Linked DNA regions of Chlamydomonas reinhardtii. Each later gene encodes a partner of the first gene's protein in a complex. Links are inferred from orthologs where the notes say so. Each region holds a gene or a part of one and is shown in the gene's direction. Other genes may lie near its edges.

What was found.
Region 2: CHLRE_12g508000v5 (region 1) and CHLRE_04g225050v5 share a complex: the UniProt entries of both Arabidopsis thaliana proteins name them as parts of the tic complex. The link is inferred for Chlamydomonas reinhardtii from reciprocal best matches to the Arabidopsis thaliana genes TIC40 and Tic20-V.
Region 3: CHLRE_12g508000v5 (region 1) and CHLRE_01g039150v5 share a complex: the UniProt entries of both Arabidopsis thaliana proteins name them as parts of the tic complex. The link is inferred for Chlamydomonas reinhardtii from reciprocal best matches to the Arabidopsis thaliana genes TIC40 and Tic20-II.

What each region holds. Positions count from the first base shown.
Region 1 is NC_057015.1:2,247,413-2,251,387, forward strand, and holds the start of CHLRE_12g508000v5 (uncharacterized protein), read left to right. Parts: upstream 1-1,170; 5' UTR 1,171-1,301; intron 1,302-1,408; 5' UTR 1,409-1,518; coding exon 1,519-1,545; intron 1,546-1,662; coding exon 1,663-1,830; intron 1,831-1,893; coding exon 1,894-1,997; intron 1,998-2,191; coding exon 2,192-2,522; intron 2,523-2,909; coding exon 2,910-3,045; intron 3,046-3,601; coding exon 3,602-3,783; intron 3,784-3,975. Other genes in the region: CHLRE_12g508050v5 (uncharacterized protein), read right to left, coding at 1-34, 128-289, 718-763. UniProt on the Arabidopsis thaliana protein: Involved in protein precursor import into chloroplasts. Part of the motor complex consisting of a co-chaperone (TIC40) and a chaperone (HSP93) associated with the import channel (TIC110).
Region 2 is NC_057007.1:3,016,712-3,020,815, forward strand, and holds the start of CHLRE_04g225050v5 (uncharacterized protein), read left to right. Parts: upstream 1-1,294; 5' UTR 1,295-1,347; coding exon 1,348-1,633; intron 1,634-2,330; coding exon 2,331-2,424; intron 2,425-2,707; coding exon 2,708-2,815; intron 2,816-3,245; coding exon 3,246-3,306; intron 3,307-3,584; coding exon 3,585-3,647; intron 3,648-4,104. Other genes in the region: CHLRE_04g225000v5 (uncharacterized protein), read right to left, coding at 1-199, 431-508, 661-711, 899-948. UniProt on the Arabidopsis thaliana protein: May be involved in protein precursor import into chloroplasts. Not redundant with TIC20-I, TIC20-II or TIC20-IV.
Region 3 is NC_057004.1:5,530,215-5,533,663, reverse strand, and holds CHLRE_01g039150v5 (uncharacterized protein), read left to right. Parts: upstream 1-1,416; 5' UTR 1,417-1,550; coding exon 1,551-2,108; 3' UTR 2,109-2,947; downstream 2,948-3,449. Other genes in the region: CHLRE_01g039200v5 (uncharacterized protein), read right to left, coding at 115-210, 371-447, 581-749, 905-1,010, 1,124-1,254. UniProt on the Arabidopsis thaliana protein: May be involved in protein precursor import into chloroplasts. Not redundant with TIC20-I, TIC20-IV or TIC20-V.

The sequences.
Region 1 (3,975 bases):
GGTTGCGTTTGAACCGTGACAATCGTCGTCGCATCTGTACATATACATGGTTGGGGTTTGGCGTAAGTGTGTGCCTGCCCTGGCTCAAGGAGGAATGGTGAGAGACGTGGGCTTCTGCGGGTCGCACCTGGTGGAGCGTCAACCGGAGGGCAGTTCCCCACCGCTATCACGCTTCCAGGCGGTAGCGTTGTGAGAGCGTCCAAGCTAACGGGCGCATTCCCAGCAGCCGTGTTGATGATGGTGAACTCGCTCAGGGTCCGCAGCGGCAAGTCGGTGTCCCCGGCGGCCCCTGCTTTTTGGGCGCACGAGGTGGTCGCAGGGAGGGAGGGGGCGGCGACCAAGGTTATCGGTCGAGGCCGTACTATCCAGTTTGGAAGCCGAAATCGTGTTGACGAACACTATCATTATTGCATCTTAACGCCGCCCGGCTGCCTGCGGCTTCTGCGCCAGCGCCAGGCTGGTCGCCGGTAATCGTGAGCATGAGCACGAGTTCGTGCACCCAGCACGCCGGAATAGGATGCCATGGATTCGTCCAGAGCACAGCTGAGGAGCTTGGGCTCAGGACAACCGCCGCGGCAACGGTCTTCGCCTTGGTGTTAGATTGACTACTTTCGCTTCCACACGCCGCGACCGCGCCCATGACCGCCGCAGCCCCCGGATGACTCGTATGCTTGTAGAGACTTCATGTTCCGGGCCTTGCATCTCGGATTGACCTACCGTCCGCGTGGACGACCGGGGGCTGCTCCTCCTGCGTCTCCGCCATGCTCCGGGCTCCTTACAGCGCAGAGCGCAGCTAAATGTGTGCCACTGAAATGTTTGACCGAACTTTGTGTCCCGGCTCAGCAGACGGTGCACGACGACGTCAAGTCCGGGAGACCATAGCCCGCCTGTGAGGCTCCGCGTCTGTGCAGTTCCTGGAAATAATGTAAACAAGCCCTGGCGTGCAGGTGAAGTACGTCGTTCAGGGAGTTCCAGAAGTTTGTGTCCAAACCGGTCGCTTTGTTTTTTTGCTAAGCGTTACAAATGAAACTAAGCGTGCAATTGAATCAGCCTGGAAAGCGGCGCCTAAAAAGCCAGGAATTTCCCAAACTCAGAGCTGCATGCAGGCTGAGTGCTTTGTCCCAGCCCCCCACAGGAATTCCCTGGCACTAATTTCTTCTCCCCTCTCTAGTTAGTTGATACTTAGAGGTCAGCTACAATCGTAAGAATGTTGTGTTCCCGCACAACCGCCCCTCGGGGATTCGGGAAGGCAGCCCTTGCTCTGCCCTCCCGCGCTTCCATCAAATGCCGGGCTGTGCAAGGCAAGCACGCTGGGGTATTGGGGCTCCGGAGCAGGGCTTTGCACATAAAATGCGCGTGCAGGTTGGCCCCGACGCGCGCTAATCGGCAGCGTTCCCATTGCATGCAGGCTCTGATCAGCAGCAGGTGGTGAGTGCGCCCGTTGAAGCGGTCGCAGCGCCCGTGCCTGTGCCGGTCGCGGGTGCGCCGCTGCCCCAGGAGACGACCGCGACGTATCCGATGCCGCCTCCGGCGCCCTACTACCCGGTACGTGTAAATAAAAGCTGATGTGGAGCGACAAGCCGGTCGCGAGGCTAGCCACTGCGATTTGGAGGCTCGGCTCCGGGCAGTCGACGATGGTTCTAATTCGCGCACACTCCGCAGGGTATGCCCGCGGACGCTGCTGCACGCCAGCAATACTACATGGCGGCCCCCGCTGCCGCCTACTATCCTCCTCCTCCGGCTCCCTACAAGGAGGAGCCTGCCTCGACTGGCGCTCCTTGGTGGATTTGGCTCGGCGCGGGTGTGATTCTGGGTCAGGTCCTTGCTAAGGTACGGTGACTTGCACTTGGCAAGTATCTTTCTCTTGCCAACGGGCAATGCCTGGCCGCGCAGGTCCAGGAGTATATGAAGAACCCAAAGACGCCGCAGCAGATAATGATGGAGATGGCCATGAAGCAGATGTCTGGCGCTATGGGCTCGCCGCCTGGAGGGGCGGGGTGAGTTGGGCGGCGGACGGAACGTGGGGGTGGGGGATGGGTGGGGGTTGCGAGCATGAAGAAGATAGTCGCGCACAGCACACGTGAGTACCATGTTTGCGGGAGAGCTGGGGCACAGGCGCGTGCCCACCCAACTGCACACTGCCTTCTGTCACCCATCACGGCCCGCTCAACACCTGTACACACGTGCACAGAATGCCTCCGTTCGGCGGCCCCGGCAGCCCCTTTGGCGGCGCCGCGCCCGGCGCCAACCCCTTCGCCGGCGCCGCCCCGGGCGCCAACCCCTTCGCCAACTTCGCGGCTGCTGCGGCGGCGGGTCCCTCCACCGTGGACACCACCGCCTCTCCTGCCTTCGCGGGCGCCAGCAGCAGCGGTGCCAGCAGCAGTGAGCGCAAGGGCGAGAAGTTCGCATCGCGCCTCAACAGCGAGGGCCGCGAGCCCCGCAAGCCGGAGCCGGCGCCTGCGGCAGCAGCGGCTGGCGCCGCCGCGGCGGCGTCCAGCGCCACCAAGCCGCTTGATGTCGTGGTGAGTTTCGGCAGGGACATAATGCGGTTGGGATGATGGCCTAGGCTGCAAAAGGGCGAGGGGCGGATCGAGGCAGCTAGTTCTACCAGCTTTCTAAAGGCAGGGCGATGTCGGGGGTGAACACATGACGGGGCTCCCCTTGCGCATGGGCGATATTAAGTCAGCAAAATATTGAATCAAAGTGGAGGGCTGGGCGGCACAACGGTAGTGCGTTGCCTTGCCTGCTGACGCGGCTGTGAAGATATTCCAGTGACAGTATCCTGCAGCACCCCGCACCCCCTTGCTCTCCCCTCTCTGTTCTTCGGTTGCTCTCCTGCTCCATTTGCGCCGCAATCCCTCACCCCGTAAACGCCCAGCGCTCCTCCTGCCCCCTTCATTTACGCACAGGAGCCGGTGGTGAAGGAGCCCTCCAGCAGCGGCAGCAGCTCGGGCGCCAGCAGCAGCGGCCGCTCGTCGTTCTTTGCGGACGTGGACGCCGAGGCCAGCAGCCGGGCCGGGGGCACCAGCAGCAGCAGCGGGTCAGGTGAGACGATGGGTGGGGAGAGCGAGGGAGAGGTAGGGCTGAGGCGGGGCTTAGGAGTGCGGGTGGTGGAGAGGAGAGAAGGGGGCACGAGAGGGAGGTGCGGGATGTAAAGAGGAGGGGAGTGAGCGGCGGCCGGGCGAGAGGCATGTGCGGTGTTAGCGGGTTGTGAGGCAGGCGGCGGCGGGGTGCAGCAGGTAGGGTTGGCAAATGAATCAATGGAGGGGCACCAGGGTAACCAGGGCTTGGGTCCTGCGAGTGGGCAGTCAGGGTGCTTGCGCGTGCCGGGCAACGCGCTGCTGGTACCTCATGGCTCCGTGCGTGGGCACCCAACCGAGGGTTAAGGGTTCCGCTTGCGACCGAGCCACAACTTTCTGTCTTCCACCGATGCCGAACATCAAAGCCTTCAGCGGCATGCTCGGCCAGGCCCCACGGTATTCTGCGGGCCACTCCTGCACTCAGCCACCCTCCAAGCTGTGCCCGAACCTGCCCCTGGCCCTCACTCCTCCGGACTCCTTTCCCACCTCGCCCGCTGCCCCCGTCGCTGCCGGTCCCACAGGAGCAGCGCCTCAGGACACGGGCGTGATGACGGACATGATGGAGAGCATGCTGCGCAACCCGGAGATGCAGAAGATGCTGTACCCCTACCTGCCGGAGCCCATGCGCAACCCGCAGTCCATCGAGTGGATGCTGTCCAACCCCGAGGTCAAGAAGCAGATGGAGCAGATGTTCGCCAGCCAGGTGCGTGGCTGTGTGTGTGTGTGTGTGTGTGTGTGTGTGTGTGTGTGTGTGTGTGTGTGTGTGTGTGTGTGTGTGTGTGTGTGTGTGTGTGTGTGTGTGTGTGTTGAAGAGCACAAGGAGAAGTAAGCGCAGACACTGTGTATGCGGTGCAACAATGCGGCGGCATACGGATATGAGTGTGTATGCATGTCG
Region 2 (4,104 bases), on another chromosome or scaffold:
GCCGCCGCCGCCGCCGCCCTCGCCGGCACTGCCACCGCTGCCGCGTTGCAGTTGGAAAAGGCTGGGGCCGGCGCCAGCTCCGTCTGCCGCGCCCGTGCTAGCCCCAAGCCCTATCATACCGCTGCCGCTTGTCCCGCTTGCTCCGCTGCCAACACCATGCAGCATGGATTCGCCTCGTCCCAGCTTGGTCATAATGCGTCTGCGCGGACATCCCCGCCCAGCAGGAAGCGGGTAAGTTTACGTATTGAAATCGGCAAAGTCTTAAGGCAGAGGCGCGGATTGATCAGTGTTGGTGCGGTTTAAAGGCCTACTAAGTTTTGACTTCCTTTATCTACGATGTCTGCAAGAGCTGCTGCTGACTGTTTGCCATTTCCCCCGCAGCAGTGTGGGCGCAAACCGACCTGCGTGCCCGTGTGCGTGCCCGGCTCACCTCATGCTGCCGCGCTTAATCCAGGCTCCGCCGCTGCCCTGAGCCTGCTCCTCTGCGTCCGAAGCTTCATGGCTGAAGCTGTGGGACAGGACGCCGGGCGAAGGCAGGGGGGGGCCAGAAGTGGAGGCACCGGCATGTCTCCAACCGACATGTCGCCGCAGTCAGCGCGTTCCCGCGTGACGTGCAGTGTGTACCACACGGCAGCACCATGCACCAGCCCCAGCCCGCACCTTGCACGCGCGATGGTTTGGCCAGTCTCTGGCTGGTAGAACTCGAGGTCCCTGCATCAGTCAGGAGTGTGGCGTTCATCGGCCCACCTTCCAAAGCGTAGCGCAATTGTCCATGATGCTCGTCTGTTTCTAGTTTATGCCTTGACACCAAAGCTCAAAGCCAGCATCAATGCCATTGCGTGCAGCGTTGCCGAGAACGGAAGGGCCGGGTCAAAATGGCTTTGTTGTTGCTGCTTACTCTTCAGTCTGCAATTCCTCCTCCCTTGTCTTGCGAAATGTCTTAAACATTCTTTCTGGTGAGAGCGGCCTTTACGCCGTCCAAGGGTCAATGCTCAAACGCGCAAGAGCGCCTTACGCGCTGCCTTGCTACTCCATTTGTAAGTAAAGTGTCAAGGTGTAAGAATTTGCTAGGTCAAAGAGAAGTTACTTGGCAGACTTGCACCAAAACGGGCGAGCCTGTAAGACCCATCTGCTCGCGAAAACGCTGGTAATAGAAAGTCTTCACATGTCGACTGTGGAACCGGCAGTGGCAGCGCATGCTCAGCCGCGAGAACCTCGAGCATGCCCCATGCAGCTTCTGCTTCCATTACTGCAGTTGCCGAACAAATAGTCCGAGGACATATATAAGCGTTATATAATACAACGTTTCCAGCAACACACAAGACATTTGGGCCAGCTTCAAGCAAAATGACGTCCCTACACGCACTGTCCCCTGCCAGCAACATTCAAGCTTCGCGTTGTGTGCGCCGCGCACTCCCAGGCCAAGCTAGGTATGCATCTGTACTAGCCACACCCCGTCTACCCGGTCGCCGCACCGCGCCGAGCAGCACGCAGAACGATGGGCCAAGCCCCTCCGCCAGGCCGGTGGTGCTGGCGCGCTCTCTCTTCGACAACCGGGGGAAAGACGACTTTGGTGACCGCATCCTTGCGTCGATACCCTTTCTACTGCCGCTGCTGGATGGCCTGCCTTATGGTGAGCTGGCCCGCTTTGGCCAACAAATTACGTGTGGTCTTTCTTATAGCCACATGTTGTGGACGTCGTGAAGGCGCTGCTGAAACGAGCACGGGGATATGCGAGGCGGAGGTCGATGGTCGCGAGCGCGCGTAGCCTCACGCCCCGCTGGCACCGTACCACCGCTCGCGCTCTCTTAGCGCAGCGCCGTGTCGCGTCCAGAGGCTCACACACGGCTGTTTGCCACCTCAAATCAATTGCGGGACGAGTAGCGGCTGCGTTCGCAGCTCGCGCGCAGTTGGTGCGTCGAGGGTGTTGCAGCGCGACTACGCTGTCAGCTGGGGTCCACTTTTCTCCCTCCACAGGCTCCATTAGCTGCGTGCAGCTCGCCAACCCCGCCAGCGCACGCCTCCCCCCTCCCAGCCCTCTTCAGCCAAGTCTGCTGCAACAATACCTTCTACAAACATTCCCCAGCTCTCAGCCAATCCAGTCAAGCCAAGCCCAAATGCCCGGTGCTCCATTCCCTCTCACACGCACGCGCATCACCACACGCACTCCAACCCTCAACACCTACCCACAACCGCCAACTCCCCCTCAATCCCCTCCCCCACCCCCCGGACGATTCTTGACTATTGGCCCTCTTTCCTTGGGCTCGGGCAAATAACCCCCACTCCGTTCTGCACATGAACGGCTGCCCCCCCCCCCCGCCCCCTTGCAGCCAAGTTCATAATGATCCAGTACCCCTTCGTGGCCCGTGCCTTCGCGCCCGTGGCCCCCCTGATGTACATCTACCACGCATTCCCCTTCGCGCCGTGAGTGTCCGAGAGGGTGTGTCTGTGTGCGTGTGTGTGCGTGTGTCATGAAGTGTGGATGTGTCGGGAGGGTGTGGGTGTCAAGAAAGTGTGGATGTGTCGAGAGGGTGCGGGTGTGAACAGAGGGTGTGGTTACGTGTTTCTTCAATGGGTTGCACGCCCTCCCTCCCAAAGCCCCCCCTCCTCCCCAACCCACCCAACCCAACCCCCCAACCCAACCCACTCAACCCAACCTACACACCCATTTCCCCCCCACCCAACACCCATCTCGCCCCACCCACAGGTTCCTGGTGTTCCTGGCCATCTACGCCGGCATTGTGAACAACCAGGGCCTGCCGCGCTTCGTGCGCTACCACGCCATGCAGGCGGTGCTGCTGGACGTGCTGCTCATGTGAGCGGGGGGACAGGGGGAGGAGGGGAGGGAGGGGGAAAGGGGGGGGGAGGGGAGGGAGTGTGGGTGAGGGGAAAGGGGGGCACGGGAGGGGGGGGGTTATTTGCACCATTCCCAGCAATAAACCAGTGACACGGAGACGCTTGACAGGGGATGGGATGGGAGGGGACGGGAGGGGCCCCAACAGCACGTGTGCGTGTGCGTGTGCGAGCGTGTGTGCGGGCGCCGCTGCTAAGTCGAGGTACCAGGGGCAGCGCCGTGTGGGCACTTGCAGCGGGGCCTGCACGCGACCCCTACTGCCACACCGCTATGTGGCTCCCTTCCCTATCCGGTGCCCCTCCCCTTTTCAGTTCTTTGTCCTCAACCTCTCCCGTCCTCCTCCCCTCCTCCTCCTCCTCCTCCTCGTCCCTCCCCTCCCCCCCCCCCACAGTATCCCGCAGGTCATCCTCAACGACCTGTGGAAGGCGCCCACCGACCCCCTGGGACTGCAGGTGGGTGGGGGGAGTGGGTGAGGGGTATGTGCGTGAGCCCAACGGTGGGGTGGGGGTGGGTGGGGGGTGTAGATTGGGTGGGTGAGGGTGGGGGGAGTGTGTTCTTTTTGTCGGCTTAGGCGGTAGAACGTAGACAATCAACTCGCGGGGAGTGCAGGGAGAAGATCATTCCGTACGCTGCCTACCCCCAACCTACACCCGCACACCTATCCCTCCCTCCCCTTACACTCTCCCTCCCTGGATGGCTATCCCCCCTCCCCCCCCCTCTACCCGCCCAGGCCTACATCACCGCCTACAACACGCTGTTCCTGTTCACGTCGGTCTGCGCCGCATACGGCATTGTAGGTCGGGGTAGGGAGGAAAGGGAGGAGAGATTGGGGGAGGGGGTCGGAAGGGGGGAGCGAGGCAAGGCCCGGGGCAATTTGGGGGGGGGGGTGGGAGCTAGTTTATTCCAATTCCAAAGAAACCAAGACCCAGAACCATGGGGGGCTGTGATGAGTTGGGGCTGTTGGGGCGGGGGGGGGCTGAGATGCCCGTGCCTAACCAAACAGGTTTCCGTCGCCCAACCAAGGAATACAGTGCCAGAGGGGGGGGCCAGGGGGCGATGGGTTCGCGGTGGGGGCAGAGGGCAAGGGCACACCGGGTTTTGTGCTGCAGCGTTTCCCTGTTGCCCGCGTGGCCATCACTAGCAGCATCAGTGGCGTTACTACCAACGATGAACGGCAATATCCCTCAAGTGCTTCAAGAGGGGACATTCCAAAGCACGCTAGGACAATTTTATGCTGCCAGGGCAGCATC
Region 3 (3,449 bases), on another chromosome or scaffold:
CATGCCGCACAGGCTCCGTATCTACCGTATGTACATGGCTCCACCGTGAGACGACTTGCGATTAAGCGTATCCTCTCAGGGCAGTTGGAAGCGCTGGGGCTGCTATCCTGCATACTACTGGTCCTCCTGGTTCATGTATGAGCTCTCCAGCGCCTCCTTCTTGCTTTGTAGCGCACCCTGGAATAGGACGTCCAAATGCGAGTATGCCTCCTGCAGCGGGTTGGCGTCGTCGGCAGCGTTGGTGCTTGCAGCAGGCTAGCGTGCATCGTTCCAACTACGGGTACCTGCCCTGAGCACGACAGTGCGCCGCCGCAGAAGTCACATAAGCGATATGTTTCGCACGTGTGCTGTTCGGTGATACCAGACTTACTTGCACGCCGGCAGCGGGGTTGGCAGGGTTGATGGCCACGTAAGACTGCGACAACTTTTTCAACCCGCCCTGAAGGCCTGCACACGTACAGGGTGAACACATCGCTACGCTTTAGCACGTTAAAACTATGGCAAGCAGCACGCACGTTCACTGGACAGGCTGCTAGCCTGTGCATATGTGTGCGGCTACTGTCCCCCGCCAGCGGCGCACCTTGCCAGCCGCCCAGGCCGCCGCCCTCCTTCTGCACTTGAATGGCCATGACCATGCACTGGCGCGTGTATAGGTTGTTGGGCTCTGCAAAGTTCCGGTAGAAGGTCTCCAGGTCGCGCTCTTGCTCTGGCCGGTTGGGGTCAATGACCATCAGCAGGCCGTCCACCTCCTGCGGAACAGCACGCGGATGGCCGCATGCCTGAGACCTACTGTGCTTGGCAACCAACCCTGCCCATTCCAAGCCCAGCCCCCCTACCCCATGTCAGTGCTAGATCCAAACGTGCACCTTGCCGTCAGACCCGTGCACCGTTCCATCAAGCGCACCTTGGCGAGCACCGGCCAGTAGGACTGGTACTGCACGCTCCCCGACACGTCCCAGAACTGGACCTTGACGCGGTCAATGCCCAGCACGCGACTGATTTCTTGGATCCTGCAGGGATTCAGAAAGCATTACACACCGAGAGCAGCACCGGTCGCAGAGGGAGACGTTGGCAAACGACATTTGAGCACATGCGCGGCCCAGGACAAAGCGACACCACTGACCTGACTGCAGCCGTAGGCTGGTATGACATTTCTCCAAGGAGGATAGGCTGCTCCGCTAGCGCTCGGCACAGCAGCGTCTTCCCAGTCCTCTGAGGACCCACCACTGCTATCTTCAACCCGTGCTCTGCCATGTTTGTTGGATAATGGGAATTGAGTTACAGCTCTACGCCACAGTCGAAGCTGGAAGACCTATCTGAGAAAGAACAGCAATTGCAGTCCCATTGCATGGAAGTCTTTCGGCTGCAGTCCTGCCGTTCACTGACACTGGAAGTTAACCTTTTACCAAAGATTTACAACCCGAGTACACCGTAGCTCCCGAGCAGTAGCCATGCAGGCGCTCGCATCCCATCGCACCCTGGCGACGCCAGCGCGCCCTCGCGCTCTAGGCTGTGCGAGCCTGCCTTTTCGCCCCATCGGAGCTCAAGCCATGCGCCGCCCGGCTCGTGAGGGGGCCGTGACCGTGCACGCGCGCAGCGGCGGATACTCGGCGCCCGGCGGGGGCCGGGGCTACAGCTCCACGCCCGGCATCGTGGACCGCGTCCTGGCTGCGCTGCCCTACATCCTGCCGTACTTCGACGCAGTGCAGTATGGTCGCTACCTGTTCCACATGTACCCCGCGGCGAAGGCGTGCATAACGCCGTTCCTGCCCGCCATGAGCCTGTACCACTCCCTGCCTTTCGGCTCCTTCATCGTCTTCTTTGGCCTGTACCTGGGCGTGGTGAACAACCCCAGCCTCAGCCGATTCGTGCGCTTCAACGCCGTCCAGGCCATTCTGCTGGACATCATCCTTGTGCTGCCGCGCCTGCTGGAGACGGTCCTGACGCCGCCCACGTCCGGCTGGGGCGCGCAAGTGTACATTCAGTCGCAGAGCTTCATCTGGATTTTCATCACCATGTGGGTGGTGTTCGGCATCGTGTCCAGCATGCTGGGGCAATGGGCGCGCATCCCTTTTATCCACGAGGCGGCGGAGGCGCAGCTGCGGTAAAGCCGCAGGGATGGCTGTTACAATTCGGTGCGGGGCTGGGGGCCATTTGAAGGAAGCTGCGCTACGGTGCGGGCTGTCCGCAGCAGTTTGCGCAGGGTTGCGTGTTAGGCTCGCCCCGCATGCCGCATGATTGCAGTGAGGCGCCTTGCACGGCTGAAAAAAGCCTTGGTGCACTTTGGATGGAGAGTTGCGTGTTGTGCAACTGTGAGTGTAGGGGAGTTGCGGGCGTCGTGTACGATGCAAGCTGAGACGCTACTGACGCTGAACCAGTTCTAATGCGCATTTGCATGCTGTGTTGATAACGGAGGAGGCCGTTGGTTTGCTGGGGGCAGGTTCATGAGTTGATCACTGCGACATACAGAGTGTGCTTTGATCGCGGTACTTGCGCTTTGAAGTGGAGGCTGTGGAGCACTTAAAATAACAGAGTGAACATCCGGATGCGGGGACACGTGTGCTCTGGTTTTCCGGGGTCGTTGCCCACCTTCCAGTATGTGCCCAGGCGTCACCAGGCAAGCAGCAGTGGTGATGCGTGTACGTTGCACGTGCGGCGTGCGGCGCGGCAATCCTCGCAACTACCAACACTTTAACTGACACACGGGGATCACAAACGGGCTTTCGCGCAACTGCCAACGAACAGGGGGGCGCGTGGCGTGGTGGTTGGCGCGCGGCGCGATTGGGAACGCATAGTTGGACAGCGAGGCGTGTGGGAAGCTGCGACAGAGCACGGCGGGGGCATGGCGGAGGCTGACGGTTGGCGCGCCGCGTGAGTGGGAGTGCATAGTCGTGCGCGCGCTGTTTGGGAAGCCGCGTGTGTGAGCTGCGTGTAAACTCAGAGAAACCTCCCCGCTACGCAGCGCGATGGCTCGCCCCATGAGAGGCAGGGCACGCTCGGCGGAAATTTGAACGGGCGCTGAGGGCTGCGTAAAGTCCACCCGATACCTCCGCAGCCCGCTCCTCTCAATCACGACGTTCCCGCCTGACACACAGACACTTCTCCCACTCCTCCCACTACTTTCCCCGCCCAACCAAGTTCTCCGACCCTCCACATCCTTACCGATTTCCCCTGTTTCGCCTATCCCTCCCTCTTCAGTCGCGCGAACAGCAAGTCCAATCACTCCCTCCTCCGGTCCGCACTGGCTCATCTGTCTTTTCAGGCGCCCCCGTCAATTACCGTGACAGCCCCACAGATCTCGCACAAACTGTCCTCTCCCACCCACCCAGAACGCGCACAGCCCCCCCGACGTTCAAAACAACAAGGAGGTGGCTGCCTTAGGGAGGCAGGAAAAGGGCTGAGCCCTCCCCTCCCGGGTCGTTATCAACCCAGCCACCTTGACGCGGGCG